3 linked regions of the Oreochromis niloticus genome follow. The protein of the gene in region 1 purifies or fractionates together with the protein of each later gene. This does not show direct contact. Links are inferred from orthologs where the notes say so. Each region holds a gene or a part of one and is shown on either strand. Other genes may lie near its edges. The genes, in order: stk11, pip4k2aa and cops8.

What was found.
Region 2: the proteins of stk11 (region 1) and pip4k2aa purify together in Homo sapiens (affinity purification with mass spectrometry; 3 studies listed by BioGRID and IntAct, counting the BioPlex papers as one, with this or other methods). This does not show direct contact. The link is inferred for Oreochromis niloticus from reciprocal best matches to the Homo sapiens genes STK11 and PIP4K2A.
Region 3: the proteins of stk11 (region 1) and cops8 purify together in Homo sapiens (affinity purification with mass spectrometry; 3 studies listed by BioGRID and IntAct, with this or other methods). This does not show direct contact. The link is inferred for Oreochromis niloticus from reciprocal best matches to the Homo sapiens genes STK11 and COPS8.

The regions. Positions count from the first base shown.
Region 1 is NC_031982.2:13,190,417-13,200,926, forward strand, and holds the start of stk11 (serine/threonine-protein kinase STK11), read left to right. Parts: upstream 1-5,653; 5' UTR 5,654-5,870; intron 5,871-6,028; exon of another isoform or gene 6,029-6,247; intron 6,248-6,643; 5' UTR 6,644-7,305; coding exon 7,306-7,592; intron 7,593-10,510. Other genes in the region: sugp1 (SURP and G-patch domain-containing protein 1), read left to right, coding at 191-314, 406-734, 1,022-1,128, 1,269-1,446, 1,564-1,670, 2,623-2,768, 3,922-4,051, 4,259-4,285. UniProt on the Homo sapiens protein: Tumor suppressor serine/threonine-protein kinase that controls the activity of AMP-activated protein kinase (AMPK) family members, thereby playing a role in various processes such as cell metabolism, cell polarity, apoptosis and DNA damage response.
Region 2 is NC_031974.2:21,796,735-21,806,778, forward strand, and holds the start of pip4k2aa (phosphatidylinositol 5-phosphate 4-kinase type-2 alpha), read right to left. Parts: upstream 4,248-10,044; 5' UTR 3,303-4,247; coding exon 3,162-3,302; intron 1-3,161. UniProt on the Homo sapiens protein: Catalyzes the phosphorylation of phosphatidylinositol 5-phosphate (PtdIns5P) on the fourth hydroxyl of the myo-inositol ring, to form phosphatidylinositol 4,5-bisphosphate (PtdIns(4,5)P2). Has both ATP- and GTP-dependent kinase activities.
Region 3 is NC_031987.2:7,709,049-7,719,723, reverse strand, and holds the start of cops8 (COP9 signalosome complex subunit 8), read left to right. Parts: upstream 1-5,841; 5' UTR 5,842-5,921; coding exon 5,922-5,993; intron 5,994-6,653; coding exon 6,654-6,724; intron 6,725-6,885; coding exon 6,886-6,934; intron 6,935-8,316; coding exon 8,317-8,449; intron 8,450-9,429; exon of another isoform or gene 9,430-10,162; coding exon of another isoform or gene 10,163-10,675. Other genes in the region: E3 ubiquitin-protein ligase TRIM63, read left to right, coding at 10,163-10,675. UniProt on the Homo sapiens protein: Component of the COP9 signalosome complex (CSN), a complex involved in various cellular and developmental processes.

The sequences.
Region 1 (10,510 bases):
TTCATTTGTTACAGTAAAAGCCTCAAATCCATACAGTTCCCCATTCACCACCCCTGTCCCCCTTGCTCCTCCTTCCCTTTTCCTTTTCTTATCCCCTATTGGCTCTAGACTGGTGGTGTATGAGGGCCAGTTGAGTACGGTACAGTAGTAGAGTGTGAATTGACTCCCAGTACTAATAGGCTGCTTAAAGTCTCCCCCCCAGTGGACGCGGAAACCCAGCAGGTGGCTGAGAAGCTGGCCAAGTTTGTGGCGGAGGGTGGCCCAGAGGTGGAAGCCATCGCTGCTGAGCGCAACCGAAACAACCCAGCCTTCAGGTAAGTGTTCATATCTGTTTCTGTGTCCTGCATGTCTCACATTTTCTTTTTTAATAGTTCGTCTGAACTGTATGAATCTTCTGTCCTTCAGTTTTTTATATGATGAACAAAGTCCAGCCCACCGTTTCTACAAAGAGAAAGTAAAGGAGTATCGTGCTGCAAACTCTCAGAACTCTGCAGATTTAACAGGAGATTCTAGGACAGCTGTTAAGCCACCAGCTGCTTTTCCAGTACCAGAATTCTCTCCACAGCAGAGCCAGCCATCTGCACTTAACTTTAAGGAGTCAGAACCCCCACCTGTGAAACGAAAGAGGAAGAGCAGATGGGGGTCTGAAGATGACAAAGTCGACCTGCCTATTCCTCCAATTGTTGTTCCTCATGAGAACAGTCTTCCAGACCCTAACGCACCATCACTTTCTGGTATTTACTCTACAAATGTGCAAGTACTGTTCATGTGTTTATTTGTAGGGGATGAATATTAATTTAATCCCAAACCTTTTTCTTGTGCAATTCTTTCAGAAGACAGTGTTATGTGCTTTGCAGCTGACAACAAATATTGTTAAATATTTTCCAACTTATGCATGCTAATGCTCATAGCCATATTTCATAAAGTCATCTGAACATTGAGCCCAGCAAGATAGTTTGACGATTAATGAAAAATTGAGATTGCTAGCATTATACATACTAATGGATATTCCCCGTTTTAGCCCAGGAGCTGAGAGGTCTGGGTTATAAAAAAGGGAAGCCTCTTGGTCTGGTTGGAGTGACAGAATTATCTGAGGACCAGAAGAGACAATTGAAAGAACAACAAGAGGTATGGAAGTATTAAAAAAGAATACATAGTGTTGTTGCTTTAGTCTTTTAAATTTCTTTCAAATCAAACAATATTATAATTTCCAGGAAGTTCCTAACAACGTACGTGTTGCTAACTGAGCAGGCGTTGTTTTTTTGCAGATGCAAGAGATGTATGACATGATTATGAAGCACAAGCGTGCGATGGCAGACATGCAGGTGATGTGGGAGAAGGCCATAAGAGAGCATCAGCACGAGTATGACAGCGATGAAGAGGTGGACCAGCAAGCGGGGACCTGGGAACATCGGCTCCGAAAGATGGAAATGGAGAAGACTCGCGGTGAGTTTTACCAGCAGCCTGGAAAATCATTCATATACACTTTAACTCTATAGGCTTTTGAAGACTTAGTATGTGATCCTTTCTGATTTAAAAAAAAAAATTAAATGTCTGTTCCAGAATGGGCTGAATCTCTGACAGAAATGGGTAAAGGGAAGCACTTTATTGGTGACTTCCTGCCCCCAGAGGAGCTGGAGAAGTTTATGGAGACTTTCAAGGCACTAAAGGTCAGTTTTCATTTGAATTCAACACTTCCCCAAGTTGGGAAGGAAATATCAGGATTTGCTTAATGCATCATGCATGTTATTTCCGGGGAAAAGAAAGGATTGCTAAATTAGGCCCTTGTAAATCAGTTTATATATATATATATATATATATATATATTAAGTATAATTTTTAGTGGCTTTTTGACCAAGAAAGGCATGCATATCTATTAGTAGAGCTGAGGTTTTTCTGAAATGCCTCAGCAGTTGAACCCAGACTGCCCATTTCCCAGCACATTCCTCATCCCTTTCTGAAAGTCCCCTAGGAACAGACTATAATTGCTACTTTAAAAAGAAATCTGTGTGATTTGGCACTGTTATTATCTCATCAAAAAGTATCAAAGCTGAAAAAATGAACACTATGAACGTAATTTGTCTGCCAGAAGCATGGGAAGTTGTTAGAAAGTCAGCTCCAGGATGTGGCTTTTTAAATAGCAAACAGAATACAGTTTGAGTCTAAGCACGTATAAACAAAGACAAGTGTCTTTGAGGAAAATGTAATATAACTGTTGGGTTATTATAGTACGTATGTTTTTGCAGGCTGTATTTGATGAAGGCCTGAAAGCTGAGTCTTATTGATGATGTATCTACATCATCTATAATGTTCTAAACATTTAAAACAACTAAACAATAGAAGACACCTATGACTTACCTGTGCAGAACTAATAATCAACTATATACACTCCCTGTTTCTGTACATGTGCACTTCCCAAGGATGATAAACATTGTTGCTTTATTTTAGCCGTCTCCATGTCCCATTTGCTTCATGTTTATGCGACATCTTTAGGATTTTTTGAGTGTTTCTAATAAAACTGAATTATGATTCCTACAGTCATAAAAAAATAATGTGTTGAATCAAAACACAATGCTGCTTCTGTTTGTTATGAATGCTCAACTTTTTCTCCTGGATTCACAGGAGGGTCGGGACCCTGACTACTCAGAATACAAAGAGTTTAAGTTGACGGTGGAGAATCTCGGTTTCCGAATGCTCATGAAGATGGGCTGGAAAGAAGGCGAAGGCCTCGGCAGTGAAGGACAGGGAATAAAGGCTCCTGTCAACAAGTGAGCATTTCTACTTATAATATCATCCTTCTAATATTTAAACTAAACTGAACTCAGTGCTGTTGTGAGCAAAAGTTTGCATATGCTAATCATGGACATGAATGCCATGGTAAATTGGGGCTTTAAATGATTTCTTTTAACTGTGAATTTTCAGGATGGATTGATTGTAATTGTATTTGGTTAAATGTCTCTTATCAAGTTGCACCTCAACCAGACACTTTTGGTATTGTCAAACCAGTTCATTTAAATTGCCTGGTTTTCTACCACAACCCAGCTTTTAAACATAGTCTACAGATTTTCAATAAGGTTGAGGTCGGGGCTTTGGGCACGCCATTCCATCAGCTTAATGTTAACCTGCTTTGACTGAAATTTGGTTTGGATAATCTTGAAGGTGTTGGGTTTTTTTTTTAGAGCAGCATCGTCTTTATTGGTCAGTACCCTCTCACTCCATGTCAATGTAAAACAGTGTGGACAGTGACACTGGTGTTCCAGCAGTTTCCAGTTCTTGAGCTTTGGCAGTTATAAAAAAGATTCCAACTTGTGCACCATTTCTTGTTTTGTTTTTTGTTTGTTTTGTTTTTTAAGTCGATAGAGAGTAATATATGCTGTACAATCACTCCATCCTGGAAGACTAACGGTTGAAAAAATTCTAAATAACCATGAAATTCATGCCCATGATGAGTGTATGTAAACTACACCTGATTTACTGCTTCAGTCACAGGGTACTTTGATACATAAATTGCAGGAATTATTAGTTCAACATTTAGTGCAGTAAGTATATAAAAGTATAATTTGGTGTCGTTAAATGACCCTGTAATGACAGGGTCAGGAATGTATTACTTAGCAGTCAGTGTACAGTGTGTGCTTGTAAATCTTGTAGGCGTTTTTACCTAAATAGGAATTAGCAGACCTATTTAGGTATAAATAGCTGAATATAAACAGAGCCACTATTACCACTGGCTCTGTTTATATTCAGCTGTCTCAGGAGGCCATGAGTTTGACAGTGAGCCAACATGCACAGTAGCCATTCATTAATACTTTCATTATTTACACCTCTGATTTGGAAGAGCAGTTGTTATTATTAGAGACTGTAACACTCGTATCAGAGAGACACAAAAAAGGCTTATTTTATGATCTCTCTGTCTCACTCCAGGGGAACTACGGCTATGAATGGAGCAGGATTTGGAATTGACCGCCCAGCTGAGCTCACAAAAGGTGATGATGAATATGACGCTTTTAGAAAGAGGATGATGCTCGCCTACCGCTTCAGGCCCAACCCACTGGTAACATCTCTTTTATGTTTTCTATCATTATAAAATTTCACCAATTTATGTAAACTGTTTACATAATTTGGATTTGCATAAAGAAAGCCACACATTGTTTCCGTGTTATGATCTATTGACTTTTTAAAGAAGATTTCTGCTGCACATCCACACACAGTCTTTTGTTGTGCTTGAATTTAATCTGCTTTTTCTTTTGTCTTTTTACAGAATAATCCACGGAGACCATATTACTAATGTAGACAGCTGTTTATGTTTATACTTGTTCTTCTTTATTGTAACTTAAAAGCTTTTTTTCTCCAGTTGCCACAGCTCCGCTTCATTACAAAATGAACACTGTTGCACAGTAGAAATTTTGAAATACTGTGTGTGTGTGTGTGTGTGTGTGTGTGTGTGTGTGTGTGTGTGTGTGTGTGTGTGCGCGCCCAAGAGGATGACGAAGTTTGAAAATGGAATAAAGATCTGTAGATTCTCTAGTTTGTTTGGTGTAATTACACACCGTCTTTCAGTATTTGATCATCTGTGTTATATTTCAATTCAAGACTGTAACAAATACTGTCCTCACCCGACTTCTATAATGAGTAAACTCATTACATTTTTTTGCTTTACCATCTAATAAACTCACTTCTGCTTTAGCACACAATTTTCTGTATAATTTTGCTTACTGTGTTCTGTAACAATTTCGATTATTTTCACTATATGCTACAGTTTCTGCAATAAAACAGCCACTTCCTGAAATGTGCAGTTATCTTTTCACCTACTTATACCTATTTGTTTATAATCTATTTATTAGTGGACATGCAGGGGCCAAGAGTATCTTACTTTCAGTTTATGACATACCTGTGTGCCAAGTGTAGGCAGTCGTGTAATCGTATTTGATAGTTTGATCGGTAATCATTCTGCCATGGCTCTGTACAGCAGTGAGTCATTAAGCAGGCTTGACCAGGCTCAAGCAGCCAGTGGTGAGGAGTGACAAATCAGTGAAACCAGAGCTCCAGTTTGCCATTCCCCAGAGAGGTTTAGACAGGATAAATATAACTCAGAAATCCCAGCTAAGCAAGAGCTGCTCCTCAGCCAAACAATCAATCAGAGGCAACTTAAGTGAAAGTAGAAAGTAAATCGAGAGTTGCTGGTTAATGGCATGAAGCTTTCTTGATGGATTAAATTTCTTAAGGCAGATATTAGTGGGTGCAATTATTATAATCCATTAATCTTTTGATCTCTTAAAATTTATGAGAATTGTGAAAGGGATGTAAAATAGCTTTTGACAATATACTTAAAAAATTCTTTATCTTGAAGGCAAATAAATCCTGACATTTGAGAAGATGAAACAAGTAATGATTGACATTTTTTAGTTGGAATAAATGATTAATTGGTTAATTAATTGTCTCAGGTAACAATTTCTCTTTCTTGTAATCAGTGCTTGAGAAAAATGAACTACATTTGCCAAGAATATACTCTCTCCTCCTGGGAAATATGAATGATCATAGATAACAATGGGGTAAAATCACTTAATAAAAGTTAAATGAGAAAGATTACAGCTGTTGTATTAAACTCCCCTGTTGTTGACATTCCTCTACATTGTTTGGAGGGGAAAAAACTTTGATTTGACGCATTAACCTATGGGCTGTCCCTGCGAGTAGGGGGGGGTAGGTAAACAAGATGGCGACAACCTGAGAAGCAAGAGTAACACGAAGAGTCAGGGGGAAAAAAAAATATCACTGAGATTTTGTCAGACTAAAGTTAAATAATTTATTCACTGGGGACGGACTCACAACAGAGGATAAACCTTGCAGCGAAAAGGAGGTTCATTTGGATCTAGGTGAGACCCGGTACCGGGAGTTAGTTAGCTTGTTAATCAGCTAGCTCGCTATTTACATTGGCATCTGAGAGGCATGCTAACCAACGCAACTCCGGTTAGCTTGCGTTAGCTGAATTTATCTGGTGCGTTTCTTCTGAGTGTAGAAGATGTTGAAGATGGTGTCTCTGCTGTCGGCTCAGCGTAATGCTTTGTCTTTAGAGAACAATGTGTGTCCCCATTATTGCCTCCGCTTCCACCGGTAAAGGAGGTGAAGTTGGCTAACGCTAAATCCAAACGTCAGGCAAAGTTGGCTAGCTAGTACTGGAGGTGCACAGCCACCGTTAGCTCCAGCTGGATGACGACGTTTTGGTTATCCCCCCACCTACCAGCTGTTCTCTGTCAGTTCACTGTCAAATTAAGTTGCTGTTTGTTGTTTTTAAGCATGTCTCTGAGATGAAACCTACTGTGCTTGCTGAATATGTGCTTACCGACGGACCGCAAAGTGGCATTTCAGGCTAGTTCATTCAAGCAGACTTGCTGCACTAGCTTACCAGCTAGCCAACAGTTGACACTTAAAATATTTATTCCGGCCTAAAAACTTGTAAACTACAATCCTTACATATATATGAGGTTGTTATGTTTGCATATAGAAAGAATAACCTGGCGAGTTTTGTTTTGTTTTTTGACCACGGGATTTCAAGGTGGTTAGGTGTTGATGTGTTGTCGATTGTTTACCAAAGATGGCTAACTTAAGTGTGTGTTTTTATTAATGTTTAAATTACTCATATTTTCAGGCACCGGGCAGTAAAAACCGGGGTGACATGGAGGACACCTGAGGACAGTTCAACACATTGGACACTGGAGTCGACCTCCAGGAGCCCCACTGATAGCAGAGATTGGAGTGATACTGCTGCATGCTCAGGCTGTAGATCTGTGCTTGGATCCAATCCAGCTGTAAACACTTATGTACCCTGAGAAAACTCTGATATCCAGCATGGACCCTTGACAGAAATGCCGTGCTGCGTGGCCTTGAATCAAGACTGGTTGCCTCTGCTTAAGACTGTAGGGTATTAATTCTGAGGTAATTGGTGAAGGAGAAGAAAAACGTTGTAGTATCGCTTTTTTTTTTTTCAGTTTTCTGTTCAACCGCACTTGTTGTAGATCTAGTTAAAAATGCACAGTATAAAGCACTAACTCGGTACTGGACTCCAAGGGTTTTTAGCCCCTTTTCGCCCCTCTTGAGTGAAAAAGTTTACAAATTGGGCTTGATCACCCACCTCCTCCCCTTAACTCTCAGGCCTGATTACTCCCTCTCCAATGTTCAGTATTTTGTAACTCATCCTGCAGAATTAAAATACTCACCTCGGTGCTGAAAGGTTACCAGTGGGTTACTTAACAGCAGCAGTCATAGCTATTCGCAAACCTTTTCCTTCACTGGAAGTACAAGCTGTCAATCATGAGTGCCGGCGAGTTGCCTCACCTGTCTGACTATCTAAATGAAAATGAACTGATGGAGATGGATACTTTTATTCACCGCATTGACTCTACAGAGGTGATCTACCAGCCTCGGAGGAAGAGGGCAAAGCTGATAGGAAAGTACTTGATGGGGGATCTACTCGGGGAAGGATCTTATGGCAAGGTGAAAGAAATGCTGGACTCAGAGACTCTTTGTCGCAGGGCTGTCAAGATACTGAAGAAGAAGAAGCTTAGGAGGATTCCTAATGGAGAAGCCAATGTGAAAAAGTGAGTGTTTCCTGATTTGTTTTATCTTGTTTCACACATGCGTCTTGTAAGGTCTTTTTAGTTGGTTGTACTAGGTAAAACTAGGTGGCATGCCTGCAGTGTATGATCAAAATATAATTAATTTTAGTCACTACACAGAAAATTTATTTAACCTGCCAACAGTAAAATCAGTTTCTTATGAGTTTTAATGTGTGCCACAGCCTTTAAAAAAATGCAGCTCCCTCTCCGGAACATGTACAACTCCTAATTTGTATTTTTAAAATGAGAAACCTGATACTGTACTTGAAACCTACCAATCATAACTGATAAGGGGAAAAGGCAGACACAAAGCCTTAGTTTCAATCCAAACACCAGAATACTGTAATATGTTTGAGACATTTAATTTCAATACACACTGTTATTTTTCTCACGTAACAAAGCCAAACCTGTCCAGCAATTGACATAGCGAAGATAATTTTACATAGTCAGCATCACTCTCGAGTCCTGAGAGTGAGGTGCTGCTTGTGCAGCCATTAAAATGTAAGAGAAGTTGATCATTGCGGTGGGTAATCCGTCTGTCATTTATATGAACAAAGTCAATAAGAGTAGAATTATATCAGTTATATCAATAGCGTTTGTGTCGCTGCACTAATGGTACCTCCCAGTCAAAGCTGGCACACACACATATGCCAAACACCATGCGTAAATGCAAGGCCAACTTGCAGATCTGGCCTAAGAGATGACTTTCGACACCTAGCCATAAAAAAGAGAAGAGTGATTGATTAGCGACGCACAAATGTGTGGTTTTGTTTTTATTTGATAGGGGGAAAAAACACAGGAAAAGGTTGTGTATTTTTGCTAAAATGTGAAGGAGACATCGAAAGGCTGCATGAGGATGCTGCATTCAGCGATTTTTAGATGCACGTCAATAGGTCATTGTCAGCTTTTTGCAGTAGTCACATAAACATGAAACCTGATTACTTTCATCAACGTACTCTGTTAACACTTAGTTTTTATTCGCGATCCCCCCTGTGATGGGGGAACAAAACTGTCTCTTCACCTCAGATCTTCACTTATCCATTTAATAAAGCGGTTATTTAATTCCAGTGCATCTACATAACATGCACAGAGAAAAAAATATGCCATCAAATATTATTATACAAACCACTAACGTGTTTTGTTTTGTTTTTGTTTGTGAGTAGTAGATGGTTTTCTAGTAACTGTGTAATTGTTTTCTGTTCTTTGGGCTCCCTTTCCTTTGTGTCACTGCCTCTGTGATTTAGCTGTCATTTCTGTGTATTCTTTTTTTCTTCTTTTCCTTTTTTCTTTTTTTGCATCCCACATTTCTTGATGAGCATCAGTAGTTTTAATCACAGCAGTATTATTAAATATCACTCCAGCCTTTCGCCTTGGGCCTGGGCTAATTATAGAGTAAGCCTTAGAAAACTGTCAGAGCAAGTTCACCCAGACAGAAAGAAGCTGCAAGATAATGTGGGGGGGTTTTTTTTGTTTGTTTGTTTTTTTAGGCCGCAGTCACAACAGCAGCAGAGCAATGAAAAGCCCGTAAGCTCAGTTAGAATCATTTTGTTGGGATTGCAATGGCGTGTTTTATCTAACTTAAACAAATTTTGTCCTAGAAAACTATGCTTTATAATCTAAAACTGCATTTTAGTTTGCTGGGAATAAAAGAGCCTTTTAGCAGCTGTAATCTCAGCTGTTAGTATCTTCACTGGCACTGTTCACCTGTACTGCTGCCTTTGCACTGAGATGCAGTTTGAGAATACAATCAGCTCAATTCACCATCTATCACTGTTCACCTCAGTGTTGTTAATACTTATTTATTTCTGCTCGATTTTTATTTATTATTTTGCACTGTTGAGTCTTCGATGGTATGAGTGGGAATATTTGACAACGCCACTAAGACAAAGTCTGTTTTAATGTCAGCAGAGAACCACAAAACAATAAATTTGCATTCCTACCCCATTACTGGCTCCGGGGTGTAGTGTTGGTAATTAGCACTTGAGACTTGTAATCAAAGTGCAACAAATTAAATACACCTACAAATGCAAAGTCCAGTTACTGGTGTTGATTTTCTGGTGGAAGAAAATCATCATAAAAAAGTATTGTGTGCAAATCTTCAGTGTTACGTAAAAGTCCCGATAAGGAAAACGTTACAAGAGCGTTTTAGAGTTTCAGTATCTCACTAGGGTAAGGGATAAAAAAGAAGTCCTTGTGTAAAGGTCACTAAGTCAATGATGGCTGGGGAAAAAAAACAAAACAAAACACACAAGCTGACCAGAAGTGACGGTAGAGGTTAAAATGAAAATGCAAAATGAGAAATCCTGAGAAAACCAATTGTTGGCTAAATAAATGCAACTGGTGAGACATTTATTTTCTACTAAGAAACTGACTTATTTTCCTTTTTTAAGTGTTTTTTTGTTTTGTTTTTTTGTTGGGGTTTTTTTTTTTTTTTGAGTGGTTACGTCCAGGCCTGAGTCCAGTCCCAAGTCTGTGGCCTGTCTCCCCTGATAAACTTTGAAAAGTTTGTTCACAGCAGAATGGGGAAAACCGATGTGTCCACATGTGCAAATCTTGTAAAAATATATACACAGTTAGTACTTGGTAACATCTTCTCAGGCTAGTATTACAACTTAAAGGGTTTTTTTTTTTTTTTTGAGTGTTTAGAATGCTGGTCTCCCCTATTTATCTTCAGCTGCCTTATACATGGTGTGTTGTTTGCTTCTAGAAGTTTGGAGGTATTTCATAGAATTCATTGTTTTCACTGCCAGAAAAATATTCTCCATGGCCATCATCTGCCACCAAACTAAGCAGTGGGTGAAGGGTTCGTTTCATAAAAATGTTCAGCCCTTTTCCTCCTCATGTACCTTTGCCCTTTGCACTACTAACGGTTTGGTTTAACTTCATCAGTTCACAGGTCT
Region 2 (10,044 bases), on another chromosome or scaffold:
TTAAGGAAGCTTTTAAATACTTCAAAATACACATCTTTGGTTAGCTATTACACAACAACAATTCTGAAGACATACACATAGTTTACGGGATCATTTAAACATCTCATTTATTCCTATGATTGCTGGCACTCTATTTGTCTCATTCTGCATGCCATTTTCACTTCACTGGACTAATATAAAGGTTGGAACTACTGGCATCTAATCTGCACTGGAGAAATTAACGGACCAGTAATTCAAATAAGTCTGGTTTTTAAGCCAAGACAATTTGGATTATTCAGATGACAACCCACAGTGGTTAAAGAGGGTGGTTACAACTGCAGAACATGTGTATGAATGAATGTGTTTCAATGTCCTACTGTCTTTGCAGTCTGGTGGCATTCTCAAGCCTCACCTTTTATTCACTCCTTTTTTTAGTTCATGTTACTTTTGCAATCTCCTTGCTGCAGGGAGTGACCTTTAGCTCGGGCTGACCCATAATAACCAACCCAACATTAGTCTGTGAGAAGAGTGTTAGTTCACTGGTTGGTTGCCAGGAAAACAAAACAAAACAACAAAACTCAAAGTCTCACTGAAGTGTTAAAAGTCACTTACAGATAGATATTACTGTTTACACAGCTGGTTCCTCCATTTATTAATTTTATACACGTCAGGCAGGAAATCCAAACAGCGGGTTTATTGCAAGAGTAAACGATAGCCCCAATAGAGCGGCAAACCCCACAGGCAAACATTCACCTACCATTTATCAACCTCAAACATGGCTTATCATGTTAAATGCACAAAAAGCCCAATAATAGCCAATTAAACACTCATTCTACTATTGGAACAGAGTCCTTGCTGACTGTTGCTTTAATGGTATCATTAACTGGCGGCTTCCTGTGTAGTGTTGTAAAATTTAGATTTTTAAGGCTTATACTAGAGTTCTGTATCTCTGTAATTATGCATAGTGTTACCAAGGTTATGTAACAGCTCAAATATAATATGATATAATAGCTCTCAGCTCTGGAATTAACAGCAGTTTTAGATGCTCCCTATACATACAATTATAATTATTTTAATAAAAAAATGAATGATGCATGGATAAACAGTTTAAAAATGGATGGATGGCTATCATAAATGTGCATGAGTAGCTAACTACTTGTCAACAAGGCAAATTTGGTAAGGGGTGGCCCTACTTATATCAATACTTGATGGCCTAAACACTCTTTGGCAGCAACTCAGTGGCTCAATCAAGTGATCTGACATGGAATGTAATTTTTACGTAGCTGATAGTATGACAAGCTGAGTACCTGCTGAGAAAAACTGCAGGAGAAGTAGCCTAAGGCATAACAAGGGAATGTGCTGACGATTCCAGTGCACTGTTGAGCAATCCGAGTACAGTTGGAACATGTATTCAATGATTCTTCAAACTCTAGGATTTTATGGTTACAAGCCACTGACCCATAATGTTTCAGCAGACAGGTGACACAGCACAAAAGTAGACACCTAAATCAGACAAATGATTATGATATAATCCTAGCTTTGACATGCATGGACAAACACACAAATGATTTTCTCCTAAATTTACTGATGTGACAAAAAAAAAAAAAAAAAAAAAAAAATCCATGATATAACCATAAATTTTTATTGAAGGGTTTTAAGAGCTTGGTGGCCATCTAGCTGATGCAATTGCTTACATCATATCTGATCAGCAAAACCAGTAAAGTGAGGACAAATGGCATATATTTATATACATTTATCTTTTGTAGGCACTTCAATGACATTGAAAAAGAGAATGACTAATTTGTAGTGCATAGCTTCACAGAGGTAAAACTCTTGTGTTTCTTACTTTGAGCCTTCAGGCTTAACACTAACCAAAGCTGCTACAGACTACAGCTTAGATAAAGAATGAAAGCTTCAGATCTTTAGCTGCCTTGGCATCATGTATGTCAGACTATTCTGAGGTCCTGTAATCCACACTAAACTGCCACCCTGAACCCTACTCCAAAAATCAAATGCTGCAGAGTAAAAAACTAAATTGTAACACATTCTCATAAAGACTTTCCCCTCAATCTGCCCACAGTGCTGCAAGTATGTCAAATATCCACCAAATACTCCTCAACCTGCCTCAACCTGACATATTTTTTTTAATTTGTCAAAAGGAAAAGAGATGTCATTAGAAGACACTCCATTCATTCTTAATTAATTTGCTACCATGCAAAATTCTTATTGTTGTTATATTACTATATATATGAATAACAGGCAGAGAAAAATAAAGTGTGAGAAATTACAGCATCAGTTACAATCAAAGAATAAAAGTTACTGCCATCATTGTTAAAAAAATCTATAACTAACATAAAAATAAACGTGTGTGCTTAATAAATATATGAATGCTGCTGCTCAGCTCATTTGGCTATACCTTGGAAATCAGTTCTCCTCAATCAGTCTGGTGCCAAAAGATTGGCCCTACAGTTATAACTCTGCTATAATTACGATTTAAAAAAAAAAAAAAATGGGCAAAAATCAAGGATAAGCTATATACTAAAACTGTAACAAAAAAGGAGCTGCCAGAAGTACAGCTTACCTGCCTCGGTCAGTTAAGCATCATCTATTCGTAGCCTAAATCTTTTTGCAAAACACCGCTTACAGGTTTAATACTTGTGGTTTGGTGCCAGAAATATTTGCATGTGCTCTGTCTGCCAAGTTGTGTGCTTTTTCCAACATCTGAGAAGTGGCCAAGTGCAGCAATTATTCAGCAAAGGAAGAGAAAGACAGCAGAGATAAGCTGTCTTGCATGGGAAGATCTGCTCTCTCATGACACAGAGCCCTAGGAGCTTATCCTACATGTGCACAACAGGAAGCCAAAGAGAGTTCACCGCACACGAACACACGCGCGCATGCATGCATCAAAACCACGGACTAATAAGATCCACGACATTACTATTGCAACTACAAAAAGCTCACTAAAGCAAACATTACTAATGGGTTGCGCTAATTGAAGCCAGTCCTGTATTTACGGTGACAGTTCAGTGAACCGCTGGACAGCTGTCACCTCGTATTTTTACTCAGCTGCAGTAACACAAAAGCTGATATCTGACAGCAAGTGAGCCTTAATGTGGAACATCAAAAGATCGAGGGAGACATGACCGTAGATCATCACAGTGACAGTGGACGGTCTGACTCACCGAGTGGTTGACTCCCCACATGAGCACGCTGAGCAGAGGGTCGCTGGCACGGAAGAGCTTCACTTTTTGGGCAACGAAGTGTTTTTTCTTGGTCTTGGTTTTGCTCGCAATGGATGCGGCAATGCTGCTCGCCGAAGCCATCTTTAAGAAAACTGGCTGGTTTATTGCAGACTGTGCGATAATCCCGACAGCGTGTCTTCCCTTGAAGCTGGCACAGCGGCCACCAGCTCACGGTTCAGCAATGTCAGTACTATTCATTTAGCCAGCCCAGCAAACCAAGGTGCCCCAATTCTTTTCTTCATCTAAAGTCCCACAGAGCTCGACTGTCGCTGTGGCCCTAGCTCGAAAGAGACTAACGTGAGGAAATACGAAGCGTTTAGCCTAATACTGCTTGCTCTTCTTCACTTAACCGTCATACGCTTCTCCGCCTGCCCACATCATAAGTCACCACTCTTCCTTCCTTGACTCTCGACTGGAGCTCTCCGCACCTCCTGCGACGTAAAGTCTCACCCAGGTAGCGTTAGCATAGCCGAGAATAGCTTGTTAGCTAGCAAACATCAAAGCTAAATTTCGTAAAAACAGTAAACGTACGGAGGATGAACAATTGTTAAGCCCCCGTGGCAAATGACCCAGAGAACACGAGCTTGTTTTTTTAAATATTAAAATAATAGCACATTAGAAATGCTGAAGGGTAGATAGACGCTTAGAACTACCAGCTAACATGAGCCTCCCCGACCTTCTCTAACCAAATGACGGCGAGAAGCAGAAGCGGACTCCGTTCACCAGCTATCAAGCAGTAGCCTGCAAGCTAACTATTGCCATTAGCCAGCTGCTCGGTGACTAGCGAGCGGCTCAGCCCTCCTCCTACGCGTTTGTACTTAGTCCACAGAGATGACAGGGCGTGTATCCTGCGATGTCCTTGCCCGGTTTAAATGAAAACATTGAGGAGCAAATATTTCGACGTTACAAGAATATCAACGTTTGGTCCACTCCCGCAGCGTTGATGTTCATGTGCGCTGCAACTGACAGCTCGGCGGATGGGAGGTGACGGGCTGAGCTTTGCAGTGTCTCCTGCTCTGATTCGCTGCTACTCCTGCCCTCCACTACCGGGCCCATGTTACCTTTCTGTTGTATTTTAATAGCTCAAGAGCTTTTCTATATTAGTCTATATGTGGCATTTGGATTTACCCTTCTTGTCAGCAACAAAAAGGTTATAACTGAATGAAAACTGTACACTTTTTCAGTCAGGCTGCCCTACATGACTGATTTCTTCACCCACCCCCGTTTTTTGCAGCCTCTTTAATAGTAATGGATTAGCAGAGACGTGCACCATCCAAGTCAATATATATATATATGTATATCTCCACACCATCAGAGATAATGTCTTTGGAGGTCATTTGGTCTTCTGGTGCATACTATGCTGTTTCCACTGGCACAATGCTGTGTCAGTGCCTCTGTAAAAGCAGGAGGCTTCAATGTGCTGATGCGATATAGAGCTCATTTGTTTTATGGCTCACCCTTCACGGCAGCACATTTCTTTTCATATTGACTGAGCTCTATTTATATTGAATTAAAATATATGTTTGACAGATATATATATATATATATATATATATATATGTATATATATGTGTGTGTGTGTGTGTGTGTGTATTAAACATGTAATATGTGACAAAGCAGGGCTGTAAAACTAAATTCTAAATTATTCTAGTGAATGAATGCAAATTATTTATAATTTATGATAATTTAATGATGGAATGTGCTTTCTTCCAAACTTAAGTGTAATTCAATGAACAGATTCAAGGACAACTGAGGAGCTTTCCAAATCTTAGTAGTTCTCAATAGTAAACTACACAGTGTCATTAGAAAACAGCACAGAACCTTTAGTTGTCTGGTTCACCCCTCCATAGGTCATGCAAGTTGTGTTTTCAATAAATAAAATAATGTAATAGACACTTATACATCTAATTGCCAGACTGTTCTGTTGTCCTTTAAAGATTTAGACCCCAATCCATTGAGCTCCAGTTCATTTTACATGCACTTTTTGATGGCTACTGACACATTTGCTACAATGTCCCAATGATGATTTTAGTGGTATTATTCACAACCCCTTCACCTGACCTCACGCTCACTCAACATAAACTTGTGCCCTCCTCGTTGTTACCCAGGATTTATTCTACCAGTTTGTGTAAATGTGTGTGTGATATGTTCAAAAACACACAAACAACATAGCTAATACCTGTCAGTAGCATTGCCTTTTTTGCGTGTCTTAGCATTTCCTTGTTGGACTATACTGTTTTTTTTTCTTTTTACTTTACTTGGATAAATAACCACCGAATATATTTTTGTTCCGAGTCCCGATTACATAAATGCATTGTCAGTGTTTCCGAAGTAAACTGCTAAGACAATAGGAGCCATAACTTTTTGCAACAGGTTAAAATAACGATTGTTTAGACCATTATTTAGTTCCACATGGCACCCGTTGCCTGGCAACGTTGCGTCAACCTCCTTTTCCAAAACACAGTACGGTGAAGTTATTGTTGTCGGTTTAAAACCTCGAAGTTGCCTCTTAGTTTGGAAAGAAAAAGTAAGTCGTGGTTCATTTTTGAGATAGTAATTAGAGAGCTTGCCATATGCCTGTTTTGTAAGCTTAATCTGTCGACAGTGCTACTGAGTAGTGGCATAGTAGCATAACTAGCTAGCTAGCTAGCTTTATGGGTTCACAGAGTTGAACGCATTGAACCATTATTGGACCGCTGCCTCTCATCAATATTGCTCCTCCTTAGGCCATAATATGGGAAAGAAGTCGAGGAACGAGAGGGAAACGCCAGTCAAGGAAACGGTGAGTGACGAATGTTTCTTTAGGTGTTGGCAAAACCTAATTAATGCATTTTTGAACCTTTGACAAGGTTTAATTCATGTCCACACACAGCCTACTGTACATCCCGGGAACATATCAATAAAAAAGCATGCACAACTCTCTGATTGGAACTACTACTATGGAACTTGATTCATTGGGCCTTGGCATCATAGGTCATTAAGACTGATATACAAGCAGGTATTTGTGTCAACAAATCATGATTATTCTAACTACACAAAAATTAATGAATGAAATTTGAATTTGCTTTATTAGTACATATCAAATGCTCTGATTGACACATCAAAAGCATTGACTGATAGTAAAGAATATATTTGTGAGGAGGTAAGAATGATCAGTTTCTTGCATGGTGAAACATCCCCTTTCCCAGTGGATAATTTCTTGGAAGGAATAAATTGACACTAACAGTCTGAAGAAAGCTAAAGAGGGAGTGTGAAACTGAAAGGGAAAAAAAAAACAGATGTCATGCTCAAAAGTGTGTCCATCTGCCACTACAATAAAAAAGTCTTTGACTTCATTCCAGATGATGAAGTTTTCTGATGTTCTGATGATAAAAATAGACATGTACTTTGAAATTGTGGCTTGGTCTTTAGTAGGCCTTGGGCACAAAATTGTTTGAAAACGGCATCAGGATATCATGTGCATGTACATGTTCTCAGGTTGTTGCCTGTTGGTACATGCTGGGCATTGAGATATGTCCTGTCTCATTGTCCTAGAAGTATGAAAATCAAAAAGACAGACCTGACTTTATACATTTTTTTTTTGCAAACACTCCTTCTCCTTGTTGACTCTCACAGTTTGAGCCGCTACCCCTTGAGAGCAAAGCCCCAGCAACAGTAGTGCTGCTGTTGAACTCCCCAGAGGAGGACATTTTAATCAAAGCGTGTGAAGCGATCCAGACATTTGCAGAAAAAGGTATGGTAGGGTACCCACCGCTAACCCTTCCACATATTATTTATTGTTTTTATTTCTATGGGCAACCTTGCAGCTGAATAGCAGAAAATCCGTACAGATAATTTAGCTTTCAGGCTGATGTTTTGTAATGGTGTATTTTTTTGATATGCATTTTTTTAAATCCAGAAATTGCAACATTTGCAATTCACTTCATCACCATCTGCCTAATTTTCCTGTTCACTGTCTCCCCCTGTTGTTAGGAGATGAGAACAAGGTTTCTCTGCTGGGACTTGGGGCATTAGCGCCTCTCTGCCAACTCATTACTCACAACAACAAGCTGGTCAGACGCAATGCCTTCATGGCCTTGGGCATCATGGCCACCAATGGTGCGTCAGACCAGTTACGTCATTGATGCAGATTCGACTGCAGTGGACTTGGTGGCTTACAAGCTCATGCGACAATCTTGATTCTACAAATGACCCTTTAGTTTACCGGCCATCTATGTGTTTGTCAGGAATTTGTATCTGTTAATCTACCAGATGTTGGATTCCCTGTTCTGTTGATTTAACAATGAGCAGGGTGCTAGCCTTACTGAGTAACTGAGTAGTGTCTCTTGTTTAAATCTGAAAGGTGATGTAAGGACTGCGTTGAAAAAATTAGATGCCATTCCATCAATTATTGAAAAACTATCACTCGAAGGTGAGTAATAGATTTTACAAGATTAAGATATATTTGGATCACTAAAGCAAACAGTATCACTTTGTATAAGTTGCATACAATCAAAATAGAGCACATGTGTTTACTTATGGCAATAGGCAGTATTTCTGTGATCAATCCTTATTTATTTCTGGTTCTCGTCATATGATCAAATTCCATTTTTGTTCAAGATGATACAGTTGTCCACGAGTTTGCAACACTGTGCCTGGCTTCTCTGTCAGAGGATTTCCTCTGTAAGGCCCAGATCTTTGACAACAAGGGGCTGCCAACTCTAATTCAGCTGCTGTCTAGTTCTGACCCAGATGTCAAGAAGAATTCACTAGAGACCATCTCCAACCTAGTACAGGTGACCCAAAATCATCAGGCTTTAGGATTTTATTTTATGTAAAAATTATAAGGATTTTCACTGTGAAAAATTAACGTGATGTTTAATAGTCCTAAAAGACAATACAGTTGTCTTCACATATTTACTGAATCCCTGAACTTTTCTAGATATAACGTGACAGAGGTACATGTGACAGTGCAGATGTTTAATGCTGTAGAATGTGTTTAACTTGTCAGCTCTGCAAGGGAAAGTATTTATTATGTCCAGTTTCATCTATGTGATAATAGCGCAGGTAATAACTCTGGTGTCAGTGGTCACACTGTGTTCTGCCTCCCTCCTGCTCTACTAAGGCAGCACTGCTGCCAAACCTAAAGTATTTCTTAGTAATGAGAATGCAGTTAATGCGAACTGTTTCCTGCTGTGCGCTATGTGTGAGAAAGAGCAACTTCACAAAGTCCTGACCTATTTCTCCCAACATTTACAGATTTCATGAGTGAAAACAGCTTCAAATTTGCTCCTAGGATTGTTGAAAAAAATGCTTTCAACATTTTTGTGAACCTTTTGCAACCTCTGCTGTTTTGTCCCCATGAAGGACTACAAAAGCCGCCTGGTCGTACACGAATTAGGTGGGATCCCTCCACTTCTGCAGCTCTTAAATTCGGAATTCCCTGTCATTCAGCATTTGGCTTTAAAGACGTTGCAACATGTCACTACTGACAGAGATGCAAACAAAACCTTCAGGGACAAGCAGGGATTTGAGAAGCTTATGGGTATCCTGAATAATGTGGTAGGTATATGGTTTAGGTAACATATGTCTTCATTCTGTTGGTTTGTGTTAATAAGAATAAAATAATAGAGAATCCTTTAAAATCTGTGTCCTCTGGACCTATCTTTTTATTTCTCACAGAACTTCAGTGACCTACATGCTGAGGCCTTGCATGTCCTGGCTAACTGCTTGAGTGACAGTGAAAGTGTCCAACTCATTCACAAGAGTGGAGGACTGACCAAGTTGATGGAATTTGTCCTCACTCCCAGTGTGCCTGAAATCCGGTCAGGTGTTATTAAATGCATCACCAGGGTGGCTCAGAGCTGTAAGCACAGAAGGCAATTAGAGACAACAGATTTCTTTCAACTTTCCCACATAATTTACTCCTTTTCATTTATTCTGTTATGCGTGTGTGTATGCGGGTGCATGCCTGTGTGTTTAGCTGAGAGCTGCAAAGTGCTTCACGAGCAGGATGTGGAGACGGTTCTGGTTGAGCTTCTGTCCTTGGAGAACACTGGTGTGATAACGTCTGCCTGTCAGGCTGTGGCCGCCTTGAGCTTCCACGTAAACAGCAAAGAACGCTTCAGAGAACTTGGCACGTACATCTTCACCGAGCCACCCTGAGATTAGGTGCAGTCAGCACAACAAAGTGTAACTGAGTTGGATTCCTTTGTGTTTCAGGTTGTATCAGTGTCCTGGTTCAACTGCTGAGCAGGGAGAGTTTGGCACTGAGAGAGGCGGCAACCCAGGCCCTCTCCAACCTCACTCATAACAGCGCGTCAAATGCCTTGTGAGTGACGGGGGACTTTGATGTCTTACCTATACCTCATTGTTTTTGTACAGAAATATGCACTTCTTTTAACAATTCAAAATTTATGGAATTATGTATAAAAACATCTACAACAAACAAGGCAGTTTAAAGACACAGAATGAGGCATACGAGACAATTTGTATAATAAGTTACTGGGTAATATTTATTTGTCAGACATCCAGCACACACTGTCTGGTTCATATCGATCATTCAGGTGTGCTGGGACACCCCTGTCCCCAAGAAGACAAAGTATTGGTGACCTGGGCAAATCACACTTCAACCCTTGGCCCATATAATCCCAAACATCTCTCAGAAAAGGAAGAAGTTTTGAAAATTCCCATAATGCATGCACATAAGTGCCTGTTTTTGTCTTTTATGTCCAGCATAAAGCATCCAAATATGATTTTTTTGGTAAACTTCTAGACCCTTTTAGTTGTTTTCCCATTATTAGCTACATAAAATACATAAAATCTGAATGAGTTCAGGGATTTA
Region 3 (10,675 bases), on another chromosome or scaffold:
ACATAACACATACAAGGCCAACTTGAATTTACCAGCTAATGGAGAAAGGGACGACCTTAAAGTAGTGATTGACACTATGAACCGATTAAACTATTTAATTAAGACATAAATCAAGTGAAAAGTTGAGTCATTTTTCAGTAACATGACATACAATCTGACGTCTTATAGCAACCAGAAGAATTGACCCCCATGTTTATGAGTTATGGAAGTAATTCATGTAAATTACTTCCTAACTGGGTTTGCTGGCAGTTATCACTGAAGTGTTACCTATTTCCTTGGAAAACAGGATCCAAAATTGACACATGTAACACAATATTTTTTTTAAATATGAAAACGCTATACAATATCCTTAAAATTCCAAGATTGAGATAATAAAACTAGTCTCATTCTGACTGATTCTTGCGCTGAAATAGCAGCTTACAGTCAAGCTGTGTGCTCAAGTGGTTTTGAAAACCTGCAAACAAATTGCACAGAGCATTCAACAAATGGCTTAATCAGTCAAGCAGACCTCCAGCCCTATCTGGCATTTAAAAAGTGGACACTCCGTTCAAATAATAGCCCAGAGGTTACAAGTAATCATCACAGAACAATTCTCCTGTTCCCCAAGGAAATGACTCCCCAAAGCGGCTGCATTGTCCTTTTCTGTAAGCCCACAGAGTAATAACTCAGGTTGACACAACGGTGTTCACACAATGTAAAGGGGAGAGATGACAAGACTGTGTCATTGGCACTTTGTTTTTCTTCCTCCTCTTTAATATTCCTTATTGAAAGAGTTATACAATAAGGCGCATATGAGGCATTATGACAACAAAAGAACAACAAAGACAGCAAATTCAAAAATTACCAGGCTGATCTGACCAGAAATAACAGAGCTAGTCAACTGTTCAAGAGGGTTAAAACAAATGATATTTTGAGGGGGATATCTTTTGCAATCATGTGAATGAGTGCATATACAATCTCCACCATTGTCATCAGCCTCAGTATCCCTAATAAGAAAACTGGTGTTGCTCTTGGCAGTTTGCCTTCTACCAGAAAGGCTTTCTAAGAGTTGGTAAATACTGTGAAGAGATCTGCTTGACTCTGCAATCCAGCTAAATCAAGTAGCTTTGGCATCTAAGCCTCATCTACCAGTAACTTGAGAAAGAAAATGAATACATTCAAGAAACTGATTTAAACTGAAATAAACTATTTAATTTACCAGTCAGACCCTGAGTTTGGGATAGTGACTGAAGAAGAAGACCAGTGGTATAGGCAGCTTATGATTCCTATAGGCTCAGAGACACTGATCAGCTTCAAACCTGGTCAACCCAGATCTTTCTGTTTGGACCTGTTAACTAGGGTAGACTATTTTATTTAAAGACTACATGAAAATACTCTGCAGGTTAGCACAAAATAAACAGGTCAGTTTGCTGTACTGTGATGGTTTTAAACAGAACAGAACACCAGTCACACACAATAGAACAGTGTGTGACTGGTGTACAGTGACTGTGGTGCGAGTTAGGTTACAATCAAGTTTAGCAGAGATGAATCTGAAATTAAGCTGATGATGTTTACATGATTCATACCAACTTTATACAATCTAGTATAAAGTTAGTATAAACGGTTCTCCATCCCCTACACTGACTGAAACATCTACGTACATGTTGTTGGATTGCGTACAACAAAATTGTCTACATCCACAAAGAGCAGTGAACCTCAGTGCATATCCATATCAGCTGATCACATGCTGTACACTAAGAAAATTCACCTATTGTGACCCACTTTTCCCCACACTGAGTGGCTACAACTGATGTTAGGGTTCCCCACCTGCTGAATCCCACTTTAACCTCCTCCCTACTCCCCTTTTCCCCTTCAGAGGTAAAGTCACCCTCTACAATGTAGACAACAGAAAATATAGATTTTTTTTAAGCTTCCTTCTTTTCCTTCTGATTCAAGCTGAGCATAACTAATATTAAAAATTAGTATTAGTAAAAATGTATTCCCATCTTCTAATATTCTTCTAATATCTAATCTTGTTAAAAAGGACACAATAAGGTAAGATTTGGAGAACATGAGACACCTGCATTCATTTTTGTTAAGTGAAAATAAGCAACCCAACAATTCCTCTCAGTGCATCCTTCTGCCCAAAGACAGTCATGCGTTCAGTGTCATTAAACTCTTACAATTCAGAGATCAAAGACCCATTTTCTCAGTTATTTATAGAAGCCTAGCAGCTCTTAGTTGTGGAACTAAAGCCATACAACATCACATCATTAACAGTGTTTTCTCTTACAGAAATCACAGAGTTATTTTTATAATAGGGTGTTTATCTCATGGTCCTGGATTTTCGTCGTAGGACTCCTTGGGAATTCTTCTGCCTTCAGGGTCTTTTTTTGTTTGGCTTTTTTGTTTTGTACTTGGTTTATTGTCTACATTTTGACTTTAATTTATCAGGACAATTTCTGTTATTATTACTGAGTCTAATTATCCCTCAGGGTTTTGATTTCTTTTTTAACTTATGGTCTTTATATTTTTCCAGTTCTACGTATTAATTATTTTGTTGTGTTCACTATTGTTGTCTGTGTTTTCACCATTTACGTGCTGTTTTTCCTCAACTTGAAATAAAAGGTCGTTTTGTGTTATTTCCGCCTGCCTTTTAGAGCCTGCATTTGGGTCCTCAATCTGCAAGACCTGACAGTTTATGAGGCTCTTAAGATGAGTTTTTTAAAATGTTTTCCCCATGTCAACATTTGATTGAGTCAGAGAGTCTCAATAATGTCTGGAGCTGAATCTTTCACGAATATAAAAAATTAGGAACATCAAAAGTCCTCATGAATTCCACTGATCCGGCACATGGGGATTTCTTCTCAGAGCTGAACACTGAGATACATTTAGAGAGGAGAAGCTAAGTAAATAAAATCTGTTTTTATTATTATTCTTTATATTCTATTCTATGTTATCCACACTTCAGAGAAAGAAGCTGTTCTGATGTCCTTTATGTGGTGGAATGTGATTCATTCATGTGTTTATGGGATTCTCTTTCAGCATTATTAAACTATTAACACCGCTGCTTTGCATTTCTTTGATCCTTTCCTTTGGCCTACACCATAACAGGGATTATGGTCCCTATATACTTTATTCATTTATTGAGGATGTGACAGGAGGGTCAAGGTAGCACATCTGAAAACAGTCTTCTAGGTTTATAATAAGTGGCTGCTGAGAACTGTAGTACTGTGACTGTAATGTAATAGGAAGGTCCAGTCTTATCTCATGGTGAAATTAGCAGAACATTAGATGAGACTTTTCATTCTTGCCAATGAAGATTTCAGAAAGTTACAGAAGGTAATTCAGACACAAATAGATTTTTTTTTAAATTTGTGTGCATTAAAGGAATTTTAAGAGAGCAAAGCATAGATGTAAAAGCAAGTTCAAAGTTGGTAAACAGGTAAGCAGGAGAATGAGAATCAATGTAAGACACAAATTAAATGTCTAACTTAACATCAATTCCTGGAAAGCAATAAATAAGTTCCAGCTCTTCTAAAACTCAATTTCAAGGGTATATCAAACTGCTTTCACATTACAAGATCGCATCGTAGTCATATTTCTACCCTGTATACCTCCAGTAGCTCTTTAAGTCTACCTGAAGCACATCTGGGATACCTCCTGACAATCAGGGACAATGCCAGATATCTGATATGCCTTCCATGAAGTTAAATCAACAAAAAGATTCCTAGAAATGTGATAATCTGTTTGCTGTTTTGATTTTCCACTCCCTCTCGTGTCAGGGTTGGGTCGGGCAGCTGAAAATCTGCCTGTGAGTGGAATCCCGTATTTCTGCTCTTCAGCTGTCATGCCTGTTGCTGACCACACCAACTCTACTCAGCTGCCTGCCCATGAGTTTGTTTGCTAGTGCAAAACAGATCAGTGTCCCCATTCCACACATCCTCCCCAGACCGTCTAACTAAGTAATCTCGCATACTCTCCATAAAACCCCCTGGAACAATTCTGTGGAACATGAAATGGAAATTGGTCCATATGCGTTGTTTTACAAGATTTCTATTATTTCCATAGAGATTAAAAAGAGCTTGTGAAGCTGATAAATTGATTAGTGCATGTTGTGTTCAGCAATGATAAAAACAAATATTTTGGAGGTTGTGACATTAAAAAAGAGTTTTAAAAATCTCAGATTTGTCAGTACAACTAGATTTTTTAAGTAATTCAAAAATGTTGTAATTAAAGTGTGAAAAAGATGTCTGAGGGGTGTTTTTTGTTTGTTTTTACACATTTAGTGTTCCTTAAGATTGCAAAATACCACCCTCAATGCAGATAAAAAAGTCAGAAGTTTGGAGAATGATAAATTTTCTATATCAACAGTAGAATATCTGTCAAAATAAAGAAAACACATGAGAGCTGTGTCTCAGTTGCCAAGCTAATTTTTTAGAGGTGGATGGGATAAAAAGGTATGTGTAGTCACCACCATCAAAGGCAAAGAAAAGATCAAAAGGAATTAAAATAGAGGAATGCCCACCACTGGCGGGAAGATCATTAGTGAATTAAGAGAAAAAAAGTATCTCTCAGCACTGGGAGTGTTTTAAAGAGTGATAGTTTCCCTGGTAGAAGTACCAATAAATCTAAACTTGCACGTATATCTTAACGTTGCCGAACCACAGCATTTAATAATAATGACAAGAACTTTTATATGAATAAAACTCATTAAACTCTAAATTTACTTAAAGAAACAATAGTTACTGCAAATATCTTTAACAACGAGTCAGACCTTCGTCTCAGATTAGCTGGCTCATTTGTTGTACATAGCTTGTAAGATTTTTCCCATTTATAATATATTTAAGCTCATTTGCAAGTATCACATTTTCAAAATCTAGTAAAAAGCTGTCATCATCTTTCTTTCATTGTCCACAAAAATCTTAGTATAGTTATGTGTTTGATGAACACTGTAGGAGTTTTCTCGATTATTTTTAAAGTGTTTTCCTCTTAATCTTTTGACCACACAAAAAGTGCATAAATGTGCTTATTTATTCCTGATATTAGCTTATTACTTACTGTTACAAGATTACACACACAACGCTCCTGTCTCTGCACAAGTGACAACAAGCCAGCAAAACAACACCTGGTTGTAAGCTAACATTATGGCTACTAATGTTAGGCTCCAGTGTTCTAAAAATCACACATATCCCTCTGATAAACAGTTTGATTGCATTGACTCCAGTCTTCCTCTGTGTAACTCAGACATGTTTGTCATACAGCTTTGGGGGAAAATGTATTAGGGCAGCTTTAGGGTGAAATTTGTTGCACTGACAGGTTTTTGCTCGTCACCAATGGCAAATATTTGTTTTTTAGTGAAAAAAAAAATGCTAGTTGTCATTTTTTCAGAATCCCACAGCTCTGAGTCTCCTCCAGCAGTGTCCAGGATCTCCATTTGGAAAAAAATGTGAGGCCATAGCATGTGATTCACATAGACATCAAACCATTCTATGACCCATTCTCATGCACTGTGTAAGGGTCATTGTCAGACTAGAAGAGACAACTTGTGTCATAACAAAACAAATTTGATCAATTAAAAGAACTTTTAATTATTAGGAGTGACCTTTCACATCCAAAGTATATCAGCAAAATTGTATACCCTCAGGATGCTCTCTGGATTTAGGGTTTAGATTTCTTTGATTTGTGAATGCAGACTTCCTTTTGACTTTTCTATTAAAATTATTTTTCTTCTTATATGTTCTCTCTTTTGTTTGGAGTTTATTTATCTATGCTTTATTTATGTTACTATTTTGGTTCAGTTGTATTTCACTGCAGTTTGCCTTACAGCCAGCCGAGGACGCCAGTGAGCACACACCCGACGTCGGACTCGTAATAATACGGCTAAGACACCAAAGAAGAAGAAGAAGCAGAAGTTTCCGGTGCAACAGCTAGGCATCATCATGCCTACTGCTGTGATTATGGAGGAAAATTTTGATAAATTATTAGAGCAGTGTGAAGCCCAAGAGCTCGAGGTAAGGACTTTGTGATCTTAAATATGAACAGGAAGGTCTCAGAGACTTTGTGGCTTTGAAAGCATGATGGGAACGGTGCGGTTTCTACAGATTTTAGGCTAGCGTACTGGCTACAAAACCTAGCCTGTGTGTAGCCTACCTTAAAGCTCTGGGAAATCAACTTATCAAACACGTTAACTCGTAGGCGAAACATTCTCACGTTAAAAATGAGATATAGGCTGTAGCAGCGTGTTCATGTTGGACTGCTCTTTGCTTGATCTTTGCCTTTACCTGCCAGCAGATAGTAGGAAGTTAGCGGTCATAATCTCTCCGTTAAATTGGAACATATCTGCAGGTTATGTGTTTGATTTAAGAACCTTTAAGTCTTACCTGTGTTGACAGTCTGTCTGTCTATCTGCCTGCCTGCATGCAGCTTTCGGACTGACAGTTTATAGTATAAGAATAAGTGAGCGAGACCACTACTGTAATGTTAGCAGGAGCTAAAACTATTAACTGGACGCTTGCTGTTGGCTGGGTGAACATCAGCGACTATTTTTTTTTTATTATGACAATAATAAGACAATAATAATAACCTGTTTTCTCTGAGAAGTAACATTTGTTCAGTTTTCCGCTTGTTTTAGCTCCAATGTTTAATCGCACACCTGCATTTCTTTGTAACAGGCTCCAGGGGGCATTGCAACACCTCAGGTCTACGCTCAGCTGCTGGCGCTCTATTTACTTAATAATGACATGTAAGTCACTGATATCTGATGTCTATGTATTTATGTTAAAAAATACATTTAAATGTATATTTTTGTCTCAGATTGCAGGCAGCTGAACTCAATTTAGTTGATGAGCCCCTTTTTGCTGCCTGTGCCTGTATCTGTATTATGAATGTGTGTTTTCCTAACAGGAATAATGCCAGGTATCTATGGAAGAGGATTCCCCAAGCAATAAAATCGGTAAGCTTGTTAAAACATGTGTAAACACTGCTAAAGAAATAACATTTGAGCATGTAAATGTGAACAGTAAATGCTGTTTACTTTAAAATCCAATGTTGGTTTTATTACATTTTTTAAACCTACTCATACTGTCATGTATACAGTTACTAGACACTTTGTAAGGTACACTTTGCTAGTACTGTATGGACCCTCTTTTGTCTTCAGAGCTGCCTTAATTCTTCGTGCCATAAATTCAACAAGGTGCTGGAAAAATTTCTTAGTGGTTTTAGAGGTTTTGGTCAATGTTGACATGAGGTCATCACACAGTGCAGATTTGTTGGGTGTTTATCGATGACAAATCTCCTGTTCTGCAACTAAAACGCTGTACTTGCTTAAGATATGGTGACTGTGGAGGCCATTGGATTTGCCTTCCTATCAGCTCAAATCAGTGTGACCATTCTCCTCTAAACTCTGTCATCAACAAGAAGTGGCACTCATTTGATATTTTCCTTTTTTCTGAAAATTCAGTGTAAATCCTAGAGATGTGGGGAAAAATCCCAGCAGATCAGAAGTTTCCTAAATACTCAGACCAGCCCATCTGACATCTCCAACCATGTCACGTTCAAAGTGTCTTGTGTTACCTTTCTTCCTCATTCGAATGCTCAATTTGAATAGCATTTTGTTAATGTCATGTGACTGGTTAATTTAATGAGAAAAGACAAACTTGTGGAGTGGAGAAGTCCTTTAATGACTGAGCAGCCAGATTTATCATAGCATGACAAAGGGATGGTACAAGGAGCCAATGGAGAGAGGCTAATATGGAATAAAGATTTCTTTTTCTAGTCTCTGTTTGCTTTGGAGGCTTTTCAGGGAGCTTTCAGAACAATCTGATAATAAGGAATTGTATTCCAGCTCCAGCTTAGAAGTTAGAAATGTATGGTCTGTGTTTTTCATCAGCTTTTTGCCATTGTGGTGCCTGCACCATATTTAATATTAAGGGCAAACATTTTTTACCACCCCGACACAACCAGTTTCATGTTTATAGAAAAGTTGCTCAACTGTACATGTAAGTAACTAAGAACACATGTAATTGGAATTTTTACTTGTGTGACAAAATGATCTTAAGTCCTGGCAGATCAATTTGCCCCACTGGAAAACTTTTTGGACCTGCTAAGACAACCAAGAGCACTATGAAATAAATGGAATTATGGTACTGCCAATCAAGTCATGACTTCTTGCAGAGTCCAAGAAAAGACAATTTAAGGATGATGGAACCATTATGATCCAACAGTCTTACATATATATTGGGGTGTGAATGCTCTTCACAGTAGCATTAAAACCACTGCCTGGTCAAGTGTTGCATTCTGATTGTGTTTGAAATGCTTCTCACTTGTTTCCTGCAGGCAAATCCTGAATTAGCAGCTATTTGGGCAGTGGGCCAGCGTATTTGGCAGAGAGACTTTCCAGGGATCTACACAGCCATTGCTGCTTATCAGTGGTCGGAGAATATTCTTCATGTCATGGAGGCCCTTAGAGGTAACCAAAAAATGTTAAAAACACCAGCTGACTTCTCGTGCATCACATTGACCTGTTAAAAAACTTTTCAGATTAATTATACTTCCACAAATTCTTTATCTAATATATAACTTTGGCTCTGTTGAAACTAGAAACTAAGGCAACATATTCTGTCAGCACGTTTAAGTGAGTTCAGTATTTTAAAAAAGTTTCCTAAATGATTTAGAATAACTGCCAGCAGGGGGCAACAGCTGAACCCAGTCAGGGCTATGATGCAACAAAGCAATGGGAAAATAAACAGAAACCCTCATGGTCATGAAGGGTACATCAGATATCCACAACAGAGTACTTGCATATTAAGAAGGTGGTTGCATACCTACATACTTTCGCCTGTTTTTCACATCACCTTCTCAACTTCAAAGGAATGATTTTCTAGAAACATCAGGTCATAAATTTATATCATCTGATCGTCACAGTTCTAGCTGCATTTGTATCATGTGTCAATTACATTGTGCAACAGTTTAAGAATAGCTTCTCACATATGTTTATGACACTGTGTGTTGATCTGATATTAATGCTCAGTACAGTATGTCATAGCACAATTAAGCAACCACTGGTCATAACTGCTTAGTGGACGTGTGAATAAACATTAACAAAAAATGCGCAACAGTCAAGAACTGCAGCATTTATTCAAGATTACAATCAATGCAATCTGACCGTACTTCCAGGCACTTAGTGTACTGAGTGTATCCATGACTATCATACTGCTCAGACTAATTAGAATATTGCATAATATATATTTTTTCCATCAATGTGTTAAAAGAATACATTTCCAAACATATAAATTAATCTGAATATTTTTTAATAAATCTGTTTAAATCAAAGCCACAAAAGGAAGACATTAAATATATTGAGAACCCAAAAAGTAATCAAATATATCATCATCTTACCTTAAATTTAATTTAATTTAACAGTCTCACTAAAGTGTGGATTTTATTATTAAAAGCATCAGGTTCCAGTGCTGAAGTATAAGCATTGCAAAAGAAAGAGACCAGCAGATAAATTGTCATTTAGAAAAGAAGAGGCTTAAATGTTGTGTCAGTGGTAGTTTAATAAACATAATTGATCCTCAGCCATTTGCTGTTATCAGTTAGTTTAATCTAAAACATATGAAAAGTGTTTTTCTGTAGTATATGTGTACAGTCACTCCATTTACTAAACAGAACCGGTTACATAAATTGGCACATTGAGCAGATAAATTAAAAGAAATCAAATGGAAAAACAGCCAAGTCACAGGATCTTGACACAGACTTGTTTACCAATAATACTGAGCCCCCTTTCTCAGGTCGAGCTCCTCTGAGCCGGTCACATGGACCCTGTTTGTCTGTGCTCAGTTGGCCACTTGGGTCACTGTTAGAGGGGACTCGGCGCCCACTGGGACATGTGACACATGCTGCAATGGGTAGAAGGGGGCGTTTCTGTGAAAAGATCCTAGGCTAGCAAGCGGGTAGGAATGCCTGGTGGAAAGGATCGGGTGTCACCAGCTGTGAGTGTCCAGTATAAAGGACAGAGCTGCTAGCTCTCAACCAGAATAGATATCAGCATTTCAAGTACGGCACACCGACAGGAGAAGTTCTTAGACGCTGCACTCTGTTTTAGCGACTCAGCTTTTAGCTTTCTCCTTGTGAGAACAGAAGGCTTGCTAGTCTAGGTGTACACATAAAACTTTACGAAATGGACATCCAGAGGACAGGATCTGTGGTTCGGCCCCCAAGCCCCATGGATAGCCTTGAGAAGCAGCTGAGCTGCCCCATCTGCCTGGACATGTTCACAAAGCCTGTGGTCATCCTGCCTTGCCAGCACAACCTGTGCCGTAGCTGTGCCAGTGACCTCTATGATTCGCGCAACCCGTATCGCTTTTCTGGCGGCGTCTTTCGCTGCCCTACCTGCCGGTTTGAGGTTGTGCTCGACCGCCATGGTGTGCACGGGCTTCAGCGAAACCTGCTGGTGGAAAATATCATTGACATCTACAAGCAGCAGCAAGAACTAAGTGGCAGTGGAAAGACGGAAACCAACCTGAAGCCTAAAGAGTCCAAAGAGCCAAAGTGCCAGGAACATGAGGATGAGAAAATCAACATCTACTGTGTGACCTGCCAGACACCCACCTGCTCCATGTGCAAAGTGTTTGGCCAGCATAAGGACTGCGAGGTGGCCCCTCTAACAACTGTTTATGAGACCCAGAAGGGT